3 linked regions of the Xenopus tropicalis genome follow. The protein of the gene in region 3 interacts with the protein of the main gene of each other region in a pairwise test. Links are inferred from orthologs where the notes say so. Each region holds a gene or a part of one and is shown on either strand. Other genes may lie near its edges.

What was found.
Region 1: the proteins of rfx6 (region 3) and frs3 interact in binary tests that used the Homo sapiens proteins (3 or more experiments, as listed by UniProt). The two-hybrid records come from large-scale screens. The link is inferred for Xenopus tropicalis from reciprocal best matches to the Homo sapiens genes RFX6 and FRS3.
Region 2: the proteins of rfx6 (region 3) and ss18l1 interact in binary tests that used the Homo sapiens proteins (3 or more experiments, as listed by UniProt). The two-hybrid records come from large-scale screens. The link is inferred for Xenopus tropicalis from reciprocal best matches to the Homo sapiens genes RFX6 and SS18L1.

What each region holds. Positions count from the first base shown.
Region 1 is NC_030678.2:70,887,058-70,891,069, reverse strand, and holds the start of frs3 (fibroblast growth factor receptor substrate 3), read right to left. Parts: upstream 2,801-4,012; 5' UTR 2,728-2,800; exon of another isoform or gene 2,700-2,727; intron 1,502-2,699; 5' UTR 1,358-1,501; intron 1-1,357. UniProt on the Homo sapiens protein: Adapter protein that links FGF and NGF receptors to downstream signaling pathways. Involved in the activation of MAP kinases. Down-regulates ERK2 signaling by interfering with the phosphorylation and nuclear translocation of ERK2.
Region 2 is NC_030686.2:4,413,847-4,417,870, forward strand, and holds the start of ss18l1 (calcium-responsive transactivator), read left to right. Parts: upstream 1-1,224; 5' UTR 1,225-1,262; coding exon 1,263-1,331; intron 1,332-2,551; coding exon 2,552-2,628; intron 2,629-4,024. Other genes in the region: psma7 (proteasome subunit alpha type-7), read right to left, coding at 667-762. UniProt on the Homo sapiens protein: Transcriptional activator which is required for calcium-dependent dendritic growth and branching in cortical neurons. Recruits CREB-binding protein (CREBBP) to nuclear bodies.
Region 3 is NC_030681.2:74,668,450-74,672,019, reverse strand, and holds part of rfx6 (DNA-binding protein RFX6), read left to right. Parts: intron 1-3,115; coding exon 3,116-3,239; intron 3,240-3,570. UniProt on the Homo sapiens protein: Transcription factor required to direct islet cell differentiation during endocrine pancreas development. Specifically required for the differentiation of 4 of the 5 islet cell types and for the production of insulin.

The DNA.
Region 1 (4,012 bases), on a different chromosome or scaffold from region 3:
AGACATTTTACAAATAGATACATTATCCACTTACTTGTATGCTTTATAGTGAGTATCATGCACTGTTTTAGATGCAACACAGTGCTAACAAAATCAAGGTCAGCTATATAAACACGGTGACCAAAACGGATGACATAATCTCAGAGTTGTTCAGTAAGGTTGAGGTCATGGCTCCAGGCAAGCCAGTCAAATTATTCCAATCCCATCCCAAAATCCAATTTTGTATGAACTTTGCTTTGCCTAGTAGAACTCCAGTTCATGCCTGTCATTACCATAATGATATTAGGTTTACATTGATCAGCTTGCCAATAAAAGTAATCCTGACAAATATTTATTTTGCTAATTTGCATATAGTGACAATTTTAAAAGGGGAGTCTAGATACCTATGCTCAATAGTGTACCACCAAATGAATGGGTTGTTCAAAATTGTACAAGTCTGGAATATTCCACTACCAGTGACTTCTAGTTGACCTTCCTACTACCTATTGACTTCACCACTTGAAGTATTCGGGCACAACCATCAAACAGGTAGCTGAAATGTAATGGGGTAGTTAACATTCTAAGAGGAAGTATAGCTCCTTTTTCAATATGAGTTCAATAAATGAGGTTTGTGCTGAACATACTTTTTTGCCTATTCTTCTCATCACACTATAGGTTTTGTTAATTCTTGAGTTAAATAGGGCAAACACGGAAACAAACTACTCAATGTTTGGTCTTTGTGGGGAAGATAATCATAATACCATTATACAACCCCCCTCCCTTCGCCCTCTGTTTTAGCTTAGAGAAAAGCCCATTATGCAACAATATCAAAAAACAGGTAGGCTATGGAAAGGATTAACCAGAAACTGGAGGAAGATATGACTATGCATGCATAACTTTCTTGAGATAAAGTTTAGGGAATGAAACTGCTTGTTGACCCAGAGAAAGGCTAAAACCCCCACCAGAAGCCTCACCAATTTGCCTCAAAGGGGGGAAAATTTGTGCTATGAGCTAATTTCAGCAACCTTGTATTTTCTCACTCGCAGAACCATAGATCCAATGCCTTCTTGAAGCTATTTAATGTATCTGCCAGTACAAAATACAAAAAAGTATGCGTATTGGTATTTACATAGCACTGCATAGTACTGTACATTAAAACAATATATTAATACAGACACTTTGTCTGACACTAGCCTAAAACCTCAGTAAAGCTTATTCTTGTGGGGAAGAAACCAAAGCTTTATATTCATAAGGCATTTTCATCACGAAAATGAAGGGTCTGTCACACAAAGGGTAGGACTAACTACTACCATCAGAGCATGCATATTTTATTATGAATTTCAATCTTCCAATTCCCCTTGGTTTAGAATTGTATTACCTTGAGCTAGCCATGGATGACAAACCAGATGCGTAAATTTTATGGGCTACCTGCCCTACTTTGCTCCCACATCCTGTTCTTTGTTGGTTTTCTCAGTGCCAGTGATAATAGAAGTGCCATGGCATCTGTCACCCTTTGTGTCACCTACATAAAAGGAAAAACATAACAGCACTGATTTTATGCATTTATTAAATGTTTACATTTACAGTGTAGTATTACATAGTTTCCCAAATATAACACTATGTAGGTTAGGACTAAAGTATACAAAGGCTTTTTACTATGAGCTGTTAAACAAAATAGATCTCCCTCTATTAAATTTCCTCTATAACTCCTCATATTTAAGGGAGAAAGAAAAGGTACTAAAAAGTTACAATTACTGGGGGGTGCAAAATATTAAGCAGAGCGATCCTCTTTTTCCCTTATATTTTCAAAATCCTGCGGCCGACGCATGCGCAGCAGAGTAAAAAACTTTTGGTTAAAGTTTGGCTTTTTTTTTCTACAGCTCATGCACACCCACAGCAATAAAGAAGGTGGAAAAGGATTGTTCACTCTCATGTACCCCAGGCTGTGTAATTTTGTGCTAACAGGGGCATTGGCCCAGGGTATAAAGTAAGTAATTACAATCACTGGGGGTGTGCCTAAAAGTTGCCATCCCCCAAAGTGATAATTATCTTAAAGGAGAAGAAAAGGTACAAAAACTTTATGCACAGGTATCATCAACTATAACAGTGTCAAGCATTACCAGCATTATTCAATGCAATACATAAAATGCCTGAGTTTAGTGCACCTGCAGAGCTCCTGGGCTGGTTGCACCTTCTGTGTGCCAATGCCTTGGACTTGCAGTAAATACAGGGATCTAGATGCACCTTGCATTTACAATGAATGTTGGATATGATGTCAAGTTAAGCAGCATCAAAAATAGAACATCCTCATTCCACTCATAAGCTGCCTTTAACGTCTTGGGCACAAAATGTGCCTGTCATTGTCAGGTGCAAAAAAAGCAGGCACAAAGTGCATTGTTGCAAAAAGCACATACCTGTATTTTGCACTTTACCCCACTGTGATGAGCCCTCTTTAACATAACACTAGTAATTGGACGGAGAGGGGGGAGGCAGAGTAAGGGTTAAATGAATCCATAATGATAAGGCCTTTATAACAGGAAAAAATACAATATACATTTTTTTTTTTAATTTAAAAATAGTGCACAACACATATACAGTACACGGCCCACTTATTTGGATTTGGTTGTATTTAGATGTCTTGCCCTTTTATTTTAATGTGTTATCCTTTATGTTTTCCACCCGCTGGTCCTCATATTCTGGCTACAGTCTGTCACCATTACCCAGTAGTGGCATTTGGATCACCCATACCGCCCAACACGCTCTTCCCGAAATAGTCTCGATTTTCTTAACACAGCCCGCAGTCCCGGATCGCTGCTTAAACGTCCCGCAACGCCGTTATTATCCAGCTCCTTGGCTCCTGCCGGACAGCTAATCCCGACGTCACATACTTCATCTCGCGAGATAGTGACGTCTCGACCACACACACACACACACACATATACACACACACGTATATATGAGCGCCGCCTTTGGGGCGTAACGAATATCGGTGCTTGATAAATTGGGAGCGTTTTGAAAGATAATGCAGTATGTACAGGACACGGTAGACAGTAAATGTCCTAAGAGCAGAAGTTTCAATAATAAAAAAAAAAAAAGAGCAGAAGTTACTTATATATAGATAACGGACATCGGTGCCGGATGCAGAGGTTATTAGAAATATAGATAGATGATAGATACATATATATATATATATATATATATATATATGTAGCCCACTTTTGCTGGCAGTGCTTCTACTGGCTATTACTTTGGTGCTACAGGAGTCCTGAGCCCCCGCTTACTATTGTGGGACTGGAACTCCCACCCTGGGAACTTGATATTACACGTTACTCCTTGACTGGGACTGCACACAACTCCCGGCACCTTGCCCCTCCCTTGGGGTATTTGCTTAGCGGCCAGTAGGTGATCCCTTGGTAGGAAAGAACCAAACACAAGTGGATATAGTGAACCAGATGAATCTCTTTATTAAGGGCAGACCTCTCCAGGAGTGGAATACATGCATCAGGGCACCGTCTCCTTAAATTCACTTTTAGAGAACCTCTCTCCTGTTGGGCTACCCATGGTACTCCCGCCAAGTGATCCTATCTAGGTGCTCCCCCCAGTACTCTCACCGGAAGACCCTTTCTTGGGGCTCTCCCCGGTACTCACGCCAGGCTAACCCACCTCAGGGACTCACCCCGGTACTCTTGCCTGAGCACCCTCAGATTAGGAATCTCCCTCTAGTATTGGCTTAATCCACCTGAGTAGACCTTTGGGCCCTGATCTCCAGCTGATGGATTGCTGGGGGATCTTAACCCCTTTATCACTCCTGGAGGGGCAATATCTGCCCTTTCTAACTTAATTGCCTACATGTCACTCCTAGAGCAACCTATTATAGGAACTTGCTACCTACTAGCCAGGCCTGTTGCACACCTCTGTCCAGAGGGAGGTCCCAGGCTGCAAAACCTGCTAAGCATGGGAGCTATCCACTTTTATATGTTTACACACCACCCTGTGGCTGTAACCTGAATTGCAGGGAACTCCCATTTAAGTG
Region 2 (4,024 bases), on a different chromosome or scaffold from region 3:
ATCTCTCCCCCTATGTATGGGGGCCTTCCATTCTATCATCTCTCCCCCTATCTATGGGGGCCTTCCATTCTATCATCTCTCCCCCTATGTATGGGGGCCTTCCATTCTATCATCTCTCCCCCTATGTATGGGGGCCTTCCATTCTATCATCTCTCCCCCTATCTATGGGGGCCTTCCATTCTATCAGATCTCCCCCTATCTATGGGGGCCTTCCATTCTATCATCTCTCCCCCTATCTATGGGGGCCTTCCATTCTATCATCTCTCCCCCTATGTATGGGGGCCTTCCATTCTATCATCTCTCCCCCTATGTATGGGGGCCTTCCATTCTATCATCTCTCCCCCTATGTATGGGGGCCTTCCATTCTATCATCTCTCCCCCTATCTATGGGGGCCTTCCATTCTATCATCTCTCCCCCTATCTATGGGGGCCTTCCACACACTGGTACCCCCCCTGCCTGCCTGGTCTCTCCCGTTCCCTCTCCCCAGTGGGTTTGCTACTATTCCATGTAACCCGGGGGGGGGGGTCCCACTCTTTCCCTGTCTCCCCCTGCCTGGGGGGGGGGGCTACTTGCTTCCATCGCACTGGGCCCCTGAATGGCCCCTGAATGGCCTCCTCCATTCCCTCTCCCTGTCCGGCCATGGGGCCACCTCCCTCAGTACTCACGGCTGTGGATCCTTTCTTGACGGCCTCCTGCGCATATTCCACCTGGAAGAGGTGCCCATCCGGGGAGAAGACAGTGATCGCCCGATCGTAACTCATGTTGGCTCCGAGGACAATCCGCTCACAAACCGAAACCTGCTCAAAACAGCGCACTCATCCCTCTCCTATTCACTAACCTCACTTCCGTTCTGCGCAGGAGCCGCCTCCCCTGCTAACCACACTGTCTACGCTACGCAAACTGCGTAAGCTTAACTCCTCCCCCGGGATTCTGCCTTACCCGGCTCATGAGACAGGAAACCCGGCTAGTGGATCCAACCATTCTAGTGGGGGGGTGGGAACCTCATCAAAGCGCTCATTTCTCAATTGTGTCAAACTGTTCCATCATCGAATCGATTTTATGAAACATGATAGATGTAGCTGTGTAGCAATAAACGTATTCTTTAAAGTGACAAGCAAACGATGTGTAAATGGGTTATTCCATTGACAAGCACTCCCCCCCCAGTCTGCTGCAGAGAATGACAAACCTTTGCCTAGTAATAGGCAGCTGATAATAAGAATATTCTGTAATAATTTATCCACTGAGGAGCACAGGGGCCATCATGTCTGTGGCCTTTGCATCAGCCAGACCCAGAGGCAAGGGAGAGATCACCCAGCAAACTATTCAGAAGGTACTGATCTGCATGGGGAAGGGGGGCTGGGGGCACCTGGGTTTATTATAAGGGGAGGTGGGAATTAAATATAGCCCATGTGTCATACATAATGCAGAGGGCAGAAAATGGGCAACAAGGATCCCCTGTGGGAGGGGCAAGAGAATTTACAGTCTGAGCAAATATGCACCTCATTCATCTCTATATATATATATCAGAATATTTAGTCTCCATGGCAGCACCATGCTTGGAATGTAAATGTCCTTAGAGATGCCATTTCTTAGAATGATAACAAGGGCAGATGCATCCTGGGGGGGTCCCTCCATCATTACCCCCATAGGGAGAAGTAGTAGCAACTGGCACACACTGTGTATCATATAAATATATATATATATACATAGTATTGTCTTTTACCCACCTAAATCTTCCTCCCCCCCCCCCAGTTCCGCTCTGATCTCCACTGATGCTGAGAGTCACTAAGCACAATCCTTAGAGAGGGATTAATGCAGTGACGGCCAGGACAGTTATGTAGTAGCTGAGGCTGAAGAAAGACCTGCATCCATTCAGCTAAAGCTCCCTAGCTGGCAGGCGATGCAGAGAAAGGGCAATCTGTCGCCTCCTTGCCCCTGAATAGAGGGGTATTCACAGGGGTGTAACAGGGGAGTCTGTAGCTGCTGGGTGGGCTCTGACTTTCTGTGAAGTTATACAATGTATCCGCCGGTACAACTGCTATAGAGACAAAATCCCACAACTTCACTGAATTTAAAGAAAACATTTTTTTGTAATTAGAGATATTATTGTGTGCTGTGGAAGGATATATGGTCCCCTGACCCCCCCTCAGATATTTATACCCACCGTATACCCACCGTATACCCACTGTATACCCAGCCGTATGACCCAACTTGGGTTTACTATTTTGTGCCGTCCTATTTAGTCACACTCCATCTTGCAGTTGACTCCTGGCTGCAAAAAGCAGATTCATTTTGAGATTACATGTATCTCCTATTCATCTTCCAGCCTACCTGGTTGCTAGGGTAAGCAAGTCCTTAGCAACCAGATCCCAGTTTGAATTCTTGTGTGAGAATGCACAAGACAGGGGTGCTGGGAGTTGTAGTTTTACAGTTGCTAGATTGGCAGATCCTATGCGCCAGGATCACTATATTGGAGGGGGAGGGGCTCAGATTTGTAGGGGATGCTCTCGGACTTACCCCTTTTTTTAATGAGGTTTCTGTGTTTAATAGATGCTGGATGAAAACCATCACCTGATACAGTGTATCATGGATTATCAGAGCAAGGGCAAGACTGCTGAGTGTACACAGTAAGTAGCAAAGTGTGAGTGTACTCAGGAGAGTGCAGACTGATTGTACTCAGTAGGAGAGTGCAGACTATGAGTGTACTCAGTAGGAGAGTGAGACTGAGTGTACTCAGTAGGAGAGTGCAGACTGTGAGTGTACTCAGTAGGAGAGTGAGACTGAGTGTACTCAGTAGGAGAGTGAGGCTGAGTGTACTCAGTAGGAGAGTGAGACTGAGTGTACTCAGTAGGAGAGTGCAAACTATGAGTGTACTCAGTAGGAGAGTGAGGCTGAGTGTACTCAGTAGGAGAGTGAGACTGAGTGTACTCAGTAGGAGAGTGAGACTGAGTGTACTCAGTAGGAGAGTGAGACTGAGTGTACTCAGTAGGAGAGTGAGACTGAGTATACTCAGTAGGAGAGTGAGACTGAGTGTACTCAGTAGGAGAGTGCAAACTATGAGTGTACTCAGTAGGAGAGTGAAACTGAGTGTACTCAGTAGGAGAGTGCAGACTATGAGTGTACTCAGTAGGAGAGTGAGACTGAGTGAACTCAGTAGGAGAGTGAGACTGAGTGTACTCAGTAGGAGAGTGAGGCTGAGTGTACTCAGTAGGAGAGTGAGACTGAGTGTACTCAGTAGGAGAGTGCAGACTATGAGTGTACTCAGTAGGAGAGTGAGACTGAGTGTACTCAGTAGGAGAGTGCAGACTATGAGTGTACTCAGTAGGAGAGTGAGACTGAGTGTACTCAGTAGGAGAGTGCAGACTATGAGTGTACTCAGTAGGAGAGTGAGACTGAGTGTACTCAGTAGGAGAGTGAGACTGAGTGTACTCAGTAGGAGAGTGAGGCTGAGTGTACTCAGTAGGAGAGTGAGACTGAGTATACTCAGTAGGAGAGTGAGACTGAGTGTACTCAGTAGGAGAGTGCAAACTATGAGTGTACTCAGTAGGAGAGTGAGGCTGAGTGTACTCAGTAGGAGAGTGAGACTGAGTATACTCAGTAGGAGAGTGAGACTGAGTGTACTCAGTAGGAGAGTGCAAACTATGAGTGTACTCAGTAGGAGAGTGAAACTGAGTGTACTCGGTAGGAGAATGAGACTGTGTGTACTCAGTAGGAGAGTGCAGACTATGAGTGTACTCAGTAGGAGAGTGAGGCTGAGTGTACTCAGTAGGAGAGTGTAGACTGTGTGTACTCAGTAGGAGAGTGTAGACTGTGTGTACTCAGTAGGAGAGTGAGACTGAGTGTACTCAGTAGGAGAGTGAGGCTGAGTGTACTCAGTAGGAGAGTGAGACTGAGTGTACTCAGTAGGAGAGTGCAGACTATGAGTGTACTCAGTAGGAGAGTGAGACTAAGTGTACTCAGTAGGAGAGTGTAGACTGTGTGTACTCAGTAGGAGAGTGAGATTGAGTGTACTCAGTAGGAGAG
Region 3 (3,570 bases):
CATTCTACCTGACTTTGAAACTGGTCTTTCATAAACATTTTGGAGGGCATATAGGCACTATCACCCTAACTGGACAGTCACCTCCAGTCACCTCCAGTCTCCACTGGGAAAGCCTGCCCCACAGTTGTGAACCTTTGCCTTACTGATTCGATTAACAGGGTTTGTGGCTCTATTTTTAATTGGGATTTGTATGTAAAATGCTGCTGTGTAATGTAGGAACAATGCATTCATGATGCTAGTTAATCCTAATACTACTATTATCAAAATCACCCTTGATAAGTCAAGACCTACATAGTAGTCCCTGGTCCTGTAACCCAGAGCAAAAATAAAAATAACATGTGCAGTACTCCTGTGCAGTTGTTCAGAACAGGGACATTTTCAGGCATAAAGAAAATTCATCTGCAGAGTTTAAAACCAGAGATTGTCAGTGGAAAGAAAGGACACTTGGCATACAAGGTATCATGAAAGTCATGTGGTCCAAGTTTAGAAGTGAAATCATAAAAAAATCTTTAAATATTGCATTAGGCTTTAAAAAGCAAAACTAACTGACATTCTTAGTTCAAAATACAGAAACATTTTTATAAGGGAGATTAGATTATGGGGGGTGGGTTTAATGTTTAAGGCCCAAAAATCAACATTAACATCAACAAGAAAATAGTATATGCAGTATTGTAGATTATTGCATAGACACAACTACTGTAATCCTGGGTTTATTTCAAACAGCACCAAGCACATATGTAATCCCTGTCTAGGTTGAAGAACAGGAAAAATAGCAAATAATATTTTTATATTATATTTCTTTTCGAGAGCTCACAGATATTAGGAATATAAAAGGGCTCAGTATCAATGAAAAATGTCCAAAGCCATTCCTTGCACTACCATATTGTTGCTCTGGGTATCACTGCCTTTGCACTGTCTTCTGCTACAAAGGAAGTGCATCTATTGCTGCAGGGGAGCCCTGGTAGCCCCAGTATCCTCATGGTAGGCCTGTATCAATAGACACACCAAACTTACTCCTAAAGAATCATGTACACTTGTATTTTAATGCATTTAATGTTAGGCACATCACCCCCTTGCTGATGTGATTATGCTGGCATTAAAGGACAAACCCCACACACAAAAATTTAATCAGTGAAAGGCCTCTTCAAATGTTTCAATACCTGCCACTCTGGTTGTCCAGAGGTTAATAGTAAGGCTGCAACATCCCCTTTAATCACTTTGATGTCCTTCTCCTCCTGTAGCCCACTCGGCCCGCTCCCTTGGGAATTAGCTTTGACTTCTGGCTTGTGGGCATGCTCAGTTGTTCTAATCTCAGAGTACTAAACGTGTCCTCCAGTCTAGCAGCCAATGAAGAGATGGCATTTTTGGTTCCCATAGAAATTAGGCTCTAGCTGTCTGCTTCAATTTTTTTCTCCTAACTTTCTCTCCTGAGCTCAGCTCAAACAAAGCAAAACTTTTATCAAAGACAGTTCTGCCTATGTCAGCCTGTATTCTTGATGAAATGTATGCTGAATAAGGGTCTGTGTGTGTGTATGCTGTTTGCAGATTTAAATGTATCTGAGGAAAAACGGCCACCAGGTGAAAGCTGCTATTTGCTTTAGGGAAATGTGATGGTGCTGGCAAACGGAGGGGATATATGCAGTACACATGATGCCATTTGGGTGGGGGAGATGTGCCCAACTGATACACATTGTAGGCAAATGAAGGCTTTACATGTCCTTTAAGGAGAAAAAATGCTGAGTAAAAATCATGGCACACTTTGCACATTACACTAGCAGTAAGTAAACAATCGCTATGTAGTTGAGAAGTTAAAAATATTGCTATACAATCTTTGTTTTCAGAACAATTATATTAAACAAATAATGTGTGTTTACACATTGATGCTATCTTCCAATTGGTTATCTGCCTTCCTAAACACAGGACTGTGGGACAATAGGATCTCTGTAGAGCAACATATACAGTATCTTAGTTTTTATGACAATGCAATGTAAATCATATGTGAATGATGATATCATTATTAAATACAGGAGATGATAAAAACTTTTCAGATTTGTAAACAACTACAGTAATAAAGTGTTTCTTATCAGTATAAGTGATTACACATCCATGACATTTTCTCTATGCAATATGTAACAGAGGGCCATAGCGTAAATATTGTAATCATAAGCCACAGCACAGCTAATAATGAATAACATTTCCAAGGAATTCTTTTTGTAATAGAACAGTCGAGTCACCAAGATAAAGGGCATTACTAAAGCCATTAACCATAGTGATACTGAATAGCTAACTGGATATGCTAACGGGTTTCTATGGGTACATTTCTGCCCTCCTGCACCTTAGATAAAATTATTTAGGAAAAAATTTAAATAAAATAAAAAAAATAAAAATAAAAAAGAATCATAAATTAATTTCATTAAATGTTATTCTACTTCTTTCTTAACATCTTGGTGCCCATTATGTAATGTTATATAATAACATTTTTAAAAGAAGCCGGGTTCCACTGAATCCAGGATTTGGCTGAATTAGAGCACTTTTTGTGGGATTCAGATCTGGCAGAATCCAGAGTGACTGGCTGACCCATATCTAAACGCAAATTGGCATGTATAAGCACTGGACAAAAGAAGGCGACAGTTTTTGTAGATGCATTTTTAGTGTTAGGTTTTGAATTTGCAAGAATTTTTTGGTCAGTGCTTAAATGAAGTGCATATTTTTAAGCAGCATGCCTAAAATTTGCAAAAGCACATGCAGTATAAATATTGTATTTTATCAGCCTAATATTCTAGGGCTTTATTGTAATTAATTCAAATGCAGTCAGTGCAGCCCAGCAACTTGAATTAATTAGCAGTTTCCCTGATTTTAAACATGATTTGGTTACCTTAGCAAATTAAGCTATATCAAATGAACCAGTGTTGGATTCAATAAAAATCATTATGGCACATTGCTCCACACGCAGGGTTTCTGTCCGAATAAAAGAACTATCAGTCCTGGTGCCTTATTATGTTGAAAAAAGTGCCTGAAGCTATTAAATGCTTGAAAGTTAATGTTATTGACTCAGGGGTTTGTATGTGAAAAAGAAATTGATATTAGCTATCCATCTTAATTTCTTTAATTGCAGGCTTGAGGAGAACTATATTGTATGTGAGGGAGTTTGCCTGCCTCGATGCATACTGTATGCCCACTATTTGGACTTCTGCAGGAAGGAGAAACTAGAGCCAGCTTGTGCAGCAACATTTGGAAAGGTATAATACTGCTCAATGGAAAGGTATAATACTGCTCAATGGAAAGGTATAATACTGCTCAATAGAAAGGTATAATACTGCTCAATGGAAAGGTATAATACTGCTCAATGGAAAGGTATAATACTGCTCAATAGAAAGGTATAATACTGCTCAATGGAAAGGTATAATACTGCTCAATGGAAAGGTATAATACTGCTCAATGGAAAGGTATAATACTGCTCAATGGAAAGGTATAATACTGCTCAATGGAAAGGTATAATACTGCTCAATAGAAAGGTATAATACTGCTCAATGGAAAGGTATAATACTGCTCAATGGAAAGGTATAATAC